2 linked regions of the Saccharomyces cerevisiae S288C genome follow. The gene in region 1 interacts genetically with each later gene. Each region holds a gene or a part of one and is shown in the gene's direction. Other genes may lie near its edges.

Evidence for each region.
Region 2: of TGL1 (region 1) and YEH1, changing one enhances a phenotype caused by changing the other (phenotypic enhancement), as found in Saccharomyces cerevisiae (3 studies listed by BioGRID).

The regions. Positions count from the first base shown.
Region 1 is NC_001143.9:178,402-182,925, forward strand, and holds TGL1 (sterol esterase), read left to right. Parts: upstream 1-2,377; coding exon 2,378-4,024; downstream 4,025-4,524. Other genes in the region: MRP8 (Mrp8p), read left to right, coding at 114-773; succinate dehydrogenase cytochrome b subunit SDH3, read left to right, coding at 1,266-1,862. UniProt on the Saccharomyces cerevisiae protein: Mediates the hydrolysis of steryl esters (SE). Preferentially hydrolyzes ergosteryl and zymosteryl esters. Required for mobilization of SEs from lipid particles/droplets, thereby playing a central role in lipid metabolism and sterol homeostasis.
Region 2 is NC_001144.5:123,716-129,924, forward strand, and holds YEH1 (sterol esterase), read left to right. Parts: upstream 1-1,818; coding exon 1,819-3,540; downstream 3,541-6,209. Other genes in the region: mRNA-binding protein PUF3, read right to left, coding at 1-999; rRNA-processing protein SOF1, read left to right, coding at 3,808-5,277; PSR1 (phosphatase), read right to left, coding at 5,615-6,209. UniProt on the Saccharomyces cerevisiae protein: Mediates the hydrolysis of steryl esters, thereby playing a central role in lipid metabolism.

The DNA.
Region 1 (4,524 bases):
AGCCGTTCAAATTAGTAACCGTTTGAGATATCTTGTCTTACTACTCGTATTCCGCAGATAAAGTACATTTTAAGAAAGGAAGTAAATACACATAAATAAATAGCAGGAAGAAAATGTCTAACGAAATTGAATTACTGCAGAAGCAAGTCTCTGAATTACAAGACTTAGTGAAGAAGCAAAGTCTGATTATCTCTAAGACAGGAGAGCGTGTGCTGGAATTGCAGTTAGATAAACAAAAGCACGACGTAACTGATTTTGATTCGAAATTCTCTAAATCTATCTCGAAGAAATCAGGATCCGCTACTCAATTCGATGCCACTGATTTTGCCACAAATGAAGATCTAGTGGAATTAGTCAAAGAACTACAGGGTGAGCTAAATTTCATCGAGGAAAGGTCTATCAGAAGACTTGTTAACTCTTTGAAAAAAGATGATGATGACGTTATAGCGCCACTGCCTAATGCAGATGGTGATATTCCTGCTATTTCAGACGGAGTGTTCCCTAAGTCGTTGAAAGAATTTAAAGACATCCCAGACTTAAAACTGGTAAGACTTGCTAAATTCTACGAAAGATTGCCACCAACTCTAAAGGAACAAGAAGATTTTGAAAACTTCCTGGAAGGTAAGGTGGAAGCCTTTCACATTAATGAGACCACTGATGAAGAGATTTCTAAGGAGTTGGAAAAGTTCTCCAAAGATGAGCTAGATGATGCATTTAATGATGTTGCCCGCTATCTAGGTCTCTCCCTTAGAAGAGGAACCGAAATATGGTAAACAGAAAATGAAAAAAAATGAAAAATCAATGAATAAGAGGGCTTGAGTTCCAGGTTCTAGAAATTTCCCTCACTTATATATATATATATATCTATATACATATAGTTTTGAGTATATCATAACAGGATTCTCTTTCAATGAAACCTATGTTTTCCGCGGCATTGCAGTTAAAGGATGTTCTAGTGGTGAAAAAGAGAAGAAAAGAATTCAAAGTTTTCCTCCCATAAGTATACCTATACTTTTTATCTGTGATTGAAAGCTGTATACCAACAGCCTTCTATATATTACCTTGTATACCATTCAGTAGTCTTAAGCATCATCTAACTTTTGACCAGGTCCATTCTGATTGGCTGCGGTAGCCCGCTCCGTTTTCCGCTCTAAGCGTTTGGTACTTGTATAAATGTGCACTGGCATTATGATATCGAGATCCCCGCATAGAAATCTCAGGACCAACCAAAAATTGCCAATCACAAGCTCTAAGAATAATAAACGATGTCTGCAATGATGGTCAAGTTAGGACTGAATAAGTCGGCTCTATTACTGAAACCCTCCGCCTTTTCAAGAGCAGCTGCCTTGAGCTCCTCGAGGAGGCTGCTTTTTAATACAGCTAGAACAAACTTCCTTTCTACCTCACCATTGAAGAATGTGGCCAGTGAAATGAACACCAAAGCGGCAATTGCTGAAGAACAAATATTAAACAAGCAAAGAGCAAAGAGACCTATTTCTCCACATCTGACCATTTACCAGCCACAATTAACTTGGTACCTGTCTTCTCTTCACCGTATTTCGTTGGTGCTTATGGGACTAGGTTTCTACTTGTTTACTATACTCTTCGGAGTCTCTGGTTTATTAGGTCTTGGATTGACTACCGAAAAGGTTTCTAATTGGTACCATCAGAAGTTTTCCAAGATTACCGAATGGTCCATCAAGGGTTCCTTTGCTTACTTATTTGCAATTCACTATGGTGGCGCCATTAGACACTTGATCTGGGATACCGCTAAGGAATTGACATTGAAAGGCGTTTACAGAACTGGTTACGCTCTCATTGGTTTCACCGCCGTTCTCGGTACTTATTTATTAACTTTATGATTCTTTAAGGCGACGCACCTGTTTCTACACACAAATATATATATAGCCAATTTTATATATACGTTCCTATATATGACCCAATACCGCACTTATTTATTCTTTAAGATCTTTATAACCCAAAATGCCGATTAACACAAACCTATATTTACTAGGGGCACATTTTTTATTTTTTTGCCTTTCTGTAAAATACAATAGAGAAAATAAAGGAACAAACAAGAGGAAAAACAGGAAAAGATAGCGCAAGAGTAATCATATTCAACAAAATATCAGTGATTTTTTACAGATATCAAGATAATTTCTTTCCGGATACTTATTGAAGCTATTATTTGTTACTGGCAAGAAAAAGCAAACATAGGCGGTCATTTTTCTTTTGTATAAAGTAAATACAAGAAGAATTATTTTCGAGGAATAACTAGGTGTGCAGAGATATTAAGGAACAAGGAAAGAAGAAAGAAAACAATTCGAACAAAACTTTATTATTCTAGCACTATTTTAAAAAACTGTCTTTTGGCAAAATGTACTTCCCCTTTTTAGGCAGATTATCGATAACAGATTACATTATAGTCGTCTTGGTATACATAGAAAGCATTATTTCATCAGTCCTTAAACTTATACCACAACCAATGATTAACCTTTTCGAATGGCTAATAAATTTCTCAACGTCCTCCGATGACAATACCATCGAAGAAAAGTTAAGGTCAGCTCCAACTATCCATGAAATGTGTGCAATTTTTGATATATCTGTCGAGGATCATTTGGTAAGAACTGAAGACAATTATATCTTGACACTGCATAGAATCCCACCGATTTCTAAAAACAGATTTAACAATAAAGTGGTATACTTACATCACGGTCTTTTGATGTGTTCTGATGTTTGGTGTTGCAATATTGAAAGACATAAAAACTTACCGTTTGTATTGCATGATTTAGGTTACGACGTCTGGATGGGAAATAATAGAGGTAATAAATATTCAACTGCCCACTTGAACAAACCACCAAAATCGAACAAGTTTTGGGATTTTTCTATCGACGAATTTGCGTTCTTTGACATTCCAAACTCAATTGAATTCATCTTAGATATAACAAAAGTGGACAAGGTCATCTGCATCGGATTCTCTCAAGGCTCTGCTCAAATGTTTGCTGCATTTTCGTTGAGTGAAAAATTGAATCGAAAAGTCTCCCATTTTATAGCCATAGCACCCGCTATGACTCCAAAGGGGTTGCACAACAGAATTGTCGATACCTTGGCCAAATCATCGCCCGGCTTTATGTATCTTTTCTTTGGTAGGAAAATTGTGTTACCTTCAGCTGTCATTTGGCAAAGAACTTTACATCCAACACTTTTCAATTTGTGTATCGATATCGCAAACAAGATACTGTTCAATTGGAAGTCGTTTAACATTCTACCGAGACAAAAGATTGCTTCTTACGCAAAACTTTATTCAACGACCAGTGTAAAATCCATTGTTCACTGGTTCCAAATATTAAGATCTCAGAAATTTCAAATGTTTGAAGAGTCTGATAACATGCTAAATTCCTTAACTAGGCCTTACCAAATTGCTAATTTTCCTACTAGAACAAATATCAAGATTCCCATTCTTTTAATTTATGGTGGCATAGATTCTTTAGTTGATATTGATGTGATGAAAAAAAATCTACCCTTCAACTCCGTCTTTGATGTTAAAGTTGACAATTATGAACACCTGGATTTGATTTGGGGCAAAGATGCCGATACCTTGGTCATTGCTAAAGTCTTGAGGTTTATTGAATTTTTTAACCCTGGTAATGTTTCAGTGAAGACTAACCAGTTACTACCATCAGCAAGTCTGGTTGAGGAATTACCAAGCACGACATGGAAGACAACTCATCCAACGCATGGTCTCAGTTATAGAACTCACTCGGCAGACCGTTCTCCGTTGTCTGTACAAGCTGATGAAGCGGATGAGGTCCACAATGCTGACAATTCAAGGTTCTTAAGACGAGTGTTTTCTACTAGTGCCATAGACGAGGACAACGAAAATGAGCACCAGGATGATACAGAAGATCAAATCCATAAGGAGCAGCAAAGACGGTTAAGTGCCTATCTGGAATCATCCAAAGATTTACGACAACTAGATGCCAACTCTTCGACAACTGCGCTGGATGCTCTAAATAAAGAATGAAAAGAATGCGAGAGAAACCCTATTAAACTATTTTTTGTCTAGGATAATAATATTAGCGCTAATCTAAAAATCGATGAACTAAAGAAAGAATATACGTACGTTTTATACACAATAAATGGATTTCATAAGAAGTCCTTAATATCCTCATGCTTGTGGATACTGGAAATTAGTAAAGTAATTAACTTCCTTTTAGCATTATTCTTATTTGGCTTAAAAAGGTCACGTGAAGCTCTATTTTTTTCGTTTTTTTTTTTCACTGATGGAAGAGAAAAACCTCTACATAATAAGGTAACTTTACATATTGATTGCCAATGAGATGTTAAAAAATGGACGGTTCAGACAGTAAAATACATTTAGAAAAAAAGAGAAGGTCTTATCAGTGTATTTATTCACTGTGCATATTAGCTTTTTTTGGACTTTTTTTGTTCCATTAGTACTTTTAAAAAACCTATTTGTAAATAAAACTAATTCTAGCACTATTCTTTGCACTAGAATAACAC
Region 2 (6,209 bases), on another chromosome or scaffold:
ATTTGAAGGAGATCCGATCAAGTAGTTGGGGAAGTTTTGGTAATGAGGGCCCTGATGAAACTGATTGGGTGGGAAGCCGTTCATGTAGGGGGGGAAATTGTTATTTGCAGGCCCATCTTGTTGGTTAGGAAGCGCGACATTTGTGGCCCCAACAGCGGCTGGATTGTTACTAGGTCTAAATACTGGTGTGTTGGCTACGTTCCAGATATTTCTCTTGGGGTAATGAGCATTTTCGGACTCTAAAGACGCAGATGAGCCTGAATTTGAACTGGAGTGGTAAAGCGAACCACTGTTAGTAGTGTTCCTATTCAATTTGTTGAAGTTTTTGTCAGACTCGACATTTTGCTCGAAAGTATTCTGTGTGTCTAAGCTGGCGTTAGAGACGCTTTTTGATATGAATTGGGACTGAGTATTGACAGCGTCGGGTCTATCTTGAGATTCCAGTTCCCTTGTACCGTCAATCAAAGATTTTCCGAACTTCTCAAAAAACCCTTCCCCACCAGAGTTGTTGTTGTCATTGCCATTGTAGTAAACGGGACCAGCAATGGAAGCTGAATACTGGCCCAGAAGATGGTTGACCTTGTTGTTTTTCCCGAGATTAGCCGCAGTATGATGAGTATGATAGTTATTGTACGATGCGGATGACAGGGAGGCAGTGTCGGTTGATCTGTACTGGTAATAATTGCCGCCGTTACCAAAAAACTTTTTCGAGTTCGTGGAGAATGGCGGAGCAGTACCAACTGATAGGGCGGTTTTCTTGAAGATCGGTGAAGATTCACTGGAACCGTGAAGCAGCAAGATCTCTGAATCTACTTCATTTGCCGTGGTGAAACTCGACCTTCTGAAGCCGCCAATTTGCTGTGATCCAGCAGCACCGCCGTTCACAATGCCGGCCGCGGCGGCCTGACCGCCGTTGTTGTTACTATGGGACAGGGCGCTTAAAGAAGAAACTATGGATGCGAGTTCCATATCCATATCCATATCCATGTTCATTTCCATTTATACCCGCAATATTGCGTTATTCAGAAGAAATTTAAATGCGTAGTTCTTGTTTGTTTTCTTGTTTGCTTGCGTACTTCTATGCTTATAGATATATCAGTAGCAAGGAAGTTTCCTTTTCACCGCCTTTCAATGTTCCTATCTTTTTCTTATGTTTCTCTTTAGAGACCAGATGACCAGAAAAAAATTAGCTAAGCAGTGTTATACTATTTACAGTAGATATTCAAATATGTGCAGGCACCACTTATTTTTCTTTTTCCTTCTTTTCTTTGTTTTTTTTTTTCTCCTATTCATCAAGCTTCATACATCCAATATACATTCTCAAGTGTGCTAATGGTACATTTGGGAAATTATCTTCCTCTCTCCACAATTTTTAGAAGGAAAAAAGAAATGCAGTTCAGGGTAACAGAGTGCGCAATTACCGTAGATAGCGATCGGATGTTTATCTTTAGCCCTCTTTTTCTAGCTCAAACCCCGGCACGAATTTTTTAGGTCTTGCTGCTCTGCCCTCGGGCACTTTTCTTCGAGAAGTTCTGGGGCGGTCTGATCGGGAAAAAACGTTCCCTTTTCGGACGTATCGCAGGCAATGTGCAAAAGCTTATTATATACGAGAAAAGAAACGCGAAGGAACGAAAGAAGATGAAAAAAATGCAGCGATAAAATGATATTGTGGTTAATCTAAATTTATATATATATATATATATACATATATATATAGAAATCTATTGTTATACACAAAAATACTTATTTTTTAATATAGATGGCTGCAGATAAAGTAATAGTTTTATATATAGGTATATTTACTGCACAATTCACACGATGGGTGTTTCTGCGGTGTTGAAAAGAGCTAGGAATTTACTAGCAACGTTCATAGTCTGCTGTTTTATGGCAGTAGTGCTTGTTCTGGCGCTGGCACACCATTTTATAAATGAGCACAGAGACACTAGGAGTTCATCGACCCAAATCGAAGTTGATGACGAAAGTAAAAGAAACGTACACCATGACCATGTTCTCACTAGAACCAATGCATACGCGACGCCATACCTCGATCTGGAACATGACAAGAAAAACGGTATCGTCTACGATCATACAAGAACGGTTGTCCGTAAAAAGAACCACGAAGTGGGGTCCTCGTCACTGCATAAAAACCTTTTTCACAAATTTTTGACAAAGCTTATTTTTAGGTTTATCGAGAAGGAAAAAGTTACCGAAGGCGTAACGCAAGGAAAGTTCAATAATAGTAGCAATGAAATTGCCAATCATGAACCGGTTTTTGAAAAAATTCCTGTACAGTGCGACAATCCATTACAGAATCTAATCTTATCGGAAGACTTGACATTAGTTGCGGATCTTAATTATTATTTTAACCAGTACAATATTCAAATAGAGGAATTTAGATTGGAGACCGAAGATGGGTTTGTTATAGATTTGTGGCACTTGATACCAAAATATAGAACGACAGATTCTGACAAGAAGAAGAGGCCACCCATTTTGATGCTACATGGCCTTTTGCAAAGCAGTGGTTCGTTCGCATCCAATGGTAGAAAATCTCTGGCATATTTTCTGTATCAATCCGGTTACGACATATGGTTAGGGAATAACAGATGCGGGTTTAGGCCGGAATGGAACGAAGCGAAAGTACCGACACTAGCTTCCAGGTGGGACTGGGACCTTCGCGAGATGGTTAAGTACGATCTGACCCTTTTGATTGATACCGTGTTAGCTAAGACGCAGTTTGAAAAGCTTACTTTGATCTCGCATTCTCAGGGCACTACACAGGGGTTTATGGGCTTGGTCAACGAAGATAAGTTTTTCCCTCCCGGTTCGGGATCTAAAGAATCTTTTTTCACTTCTAAGATCGCAAACTATATTGCCTTGGCCCCCGCAGTGTATCCTGGTCCCTTACTTAACGAGAAATTGTTTGTTAAGCTTATGACAAAGGAAATCGAAAATCCCTGGTTCTTTGGTGAAACGAGCTTTTTTGAGATAATGATGATTGTAAGAAACTTGTGCGTTGGTGAGAGCTTGTTCTCCTTTGTTTGTTACACCATCTTCAATTACCTGTTTGATTGGAACGATACCCTTTGGGATACCGCATTAAGAGATCGCCATTTCCTGTTTTCGCCAGTCCATGTTTCAGTGAAGTTGATGCAATGGTGGCTGTCACCCGACCCCAACAAGGTAAGTTTTAAATTTGGTTCCCATAAGATGTTCCCCGACAATGTTAAGTGGTTTTCAGACGCATCAAAGGCCCCAAATATCTACTTGTTTGTTCCAAAGCAAGATAGATTGGTGGACGGAGAAAGACTAATCAATCATTTCGTCAATGTGGAGTCGAATGTCAACTACAAGATCTGGTACATTGATGAGTATGCCCATATTGATGTCCTATGGGCACATGATGTCATAGAGAGAATTGGTAAACCAATTTTACAGAATTTGAACAACTATTACTCCAAGAAGCCATCCAGCGCCTTTGAAAGTGATTGTTCGGACACAGAGGTGGAAACGGAGCTGGAAATGGTTGCTGAGAAGGCTTGAAGAGGAAGCATGATATATAGGTTAATATAAATTATACTTGGGAATACATAGATAGAGGGCTAGTAAATTTTTAGTTTTTAATTGTTCTTTTTTTTTGAAGTATTGTGTCACAAATTGTCGGGAGTTGGGACATCACCGTGCATAACGATACATTTTTTTGAAAAATTTGATATTGAAAAAAAATCGATGAGTTTGAATTACATTACAGTTGTATAAAGCAACCGCATTTCATTAACGTAGTTTGACTCGCGAAGATAAGGCGTTAAAATGAAGATTAAGACCATTAAAAGAAGTGCTGATGACTATGTCCCTGTTAAAAGTACGCAGGAATCTCAAATGCCCAGGAATTTGAACCCTGAATTGCATCCTTTTGAAAGGGCACGTGAATATACTAAAGCTTTGAATGCCACCAAATTGGAAAGAATGTTTGCTAAACCCTTTGTGGGTCAGTTAGGATACGGTCATAGAGATGGTGTTTATGCTATTGCCAAAAATTATGGTAGTCTGAATAAATTGGCTACTGGTTCTGCAGATGGTGTGATTAAATACTGGAACATGTCTACTAGAGAAGAATTTGTTTCCTTTAAGGCGCATTATGGACTCGTTACTGGTCTTTGTGTGACACAGCCTCGTTTTCATGACAAGAAGCCAGATTTGAAGAGCCAAAATTTTATGTTATCTTGCAGTGATGACAAAACTGTCAAGCTATGGTCAATAAATGTTGATGATTACTCCAATAAAAACTCCAGTGATAACGACTCCGTTACTAACGAGGAAGGTTTGATTCGTACTTTTGACGGTGAATCTGCATTTCAAGGTATCGATTCGCACAGAGAAAACTCCACGTTTGCCACAGGTGGGGCCAAGATCCATCTTTGGGACGTTAACAGATTGAAGCCAGTTTCCGATCTATCATGGGGAGCAGACAACATTACTAGTTTAAAATTCAATCAAAATGAAACAGATATCTTGGCCAGTACTGGTAGTGATAATTCTATTGTTCTTTACGACTTGAGAACCAACTCCCCCACACAAAAGATTGTTCAAACAATGAGGACGAATGCTATTTGCTGGAATCCAATGGAGGCCTTCAACTTTGTAACTGCCAATGAAGATCATAACGCCTACTATTATGATATGAGGAATTTATCACGTTCATTGAATGTATTCAAAGATCACGTCAGCGCAGTAATGGATGTTGACTTTTCTCCTACGGGGGATGAGATTGTTACTGGTTCGTACGATAAGAGTATCAGAATATATAAGACGAATCACGGACATTCGAGAGAAATTTATCATACGAAGAGAATGCAGCATGTTTTCCAGGTTAAATATTCCATGGATTCTAAATATATTATCAGTGGATCTGATGATGGGAATGTTAGGCTATGGAGAAGTAAAGCTTGGGAGAGGTCTAATGTCAAAACTACTCGTGAAAAGAATAAATTAGAATATGACGAAAAATTAAAAGAAAGATTTAGACATATGCCGGAGATCAAAAGAATCAGTAGACATAGACACGTGCCACAAGTCATCAAAAAGGCTCAGGAAATTAAGAACATTGAGTTGAGTTCTATTAAGAGAAGAGAAGCTAATGAAAGGCGTACTAGAAAGGATATGCCATACATTTCCGAAAGGAAGAAACAAATCGTTGGTACCGTGCACAAATATGAAGATTCAGGAAGAGATAGGAAAAGAAGAAAGGAAGATGACAAACGTGATACTCAAGAAAAGTAGTTATTCTGTTTTATGTTGTCTGTATATACACATATGTACAATATTTGCATTTTTTTAATTTTTAATTCACATGTATTTGATAAATGTTCACGCCAGTCCCGTTAAATTAAAATTACCATTTTATTAGATTATGAATTTATATATGAATACATTGTGTCGTAATGGTAGAAGAAGTTGAAAAAAAAAATGTCAAGGGACAGCATGGGTACAGTGTGTTGAGCCAAAAAAAAAAAGAAAAAAAAAGAAAAAACTTTTTGTTCTCTGGTTCTTTTCTTCATCTTCTTCATCTTCATTCTTTGGTAGCGGGGGCCACAAGAAATTCGGGCGAAAGTGCTCATTATATTGTTACATCCAAAATTTTGCCCACATCCAGTGAGGTTTTCACAGAAAGGTCTTCTAAAAGAGGAATAATATCTAATAATTCGTTATCATGAGTATCTGAGAACCAGGACGAAATCGGTATTGCATGTTGGGGATGAAAAATATAAGATGCCGGAGAGTTATCGAGAATGATGATATCTGATAACGGCCTTCCAATCTGGGATAAGTTTTTTATATAGTTTCCTTCATAGTTATAGCAAGCCTCTCTGAATAATCTGTGATGAATGACTTTATCTGTGTCTAATATATCAAGCAAAGGATCACCGTATCGAGAGACACTAGCCGTGAAGACTACAACCTCGAATAATTTTCCGACTCTTTCCAAAAATTCTTCCACACCAGGTCTTTTAATGACATAGACATTGTGTACTTGGTCATCTATTTCCACAGACAAAACAAAATCCGCAGATCGTAAGTATTTGAAAGAAGAGTGTACCAAGGTTTCATCCAGGTCCAGTATTAGGCATTTCTTGCCCTTTGTACTTTCATCTTGTGGGGGGAGCAGAGTGTTGTAACCTGGTGCATGATACTGGCCCTGCTGCAAAAGCGTT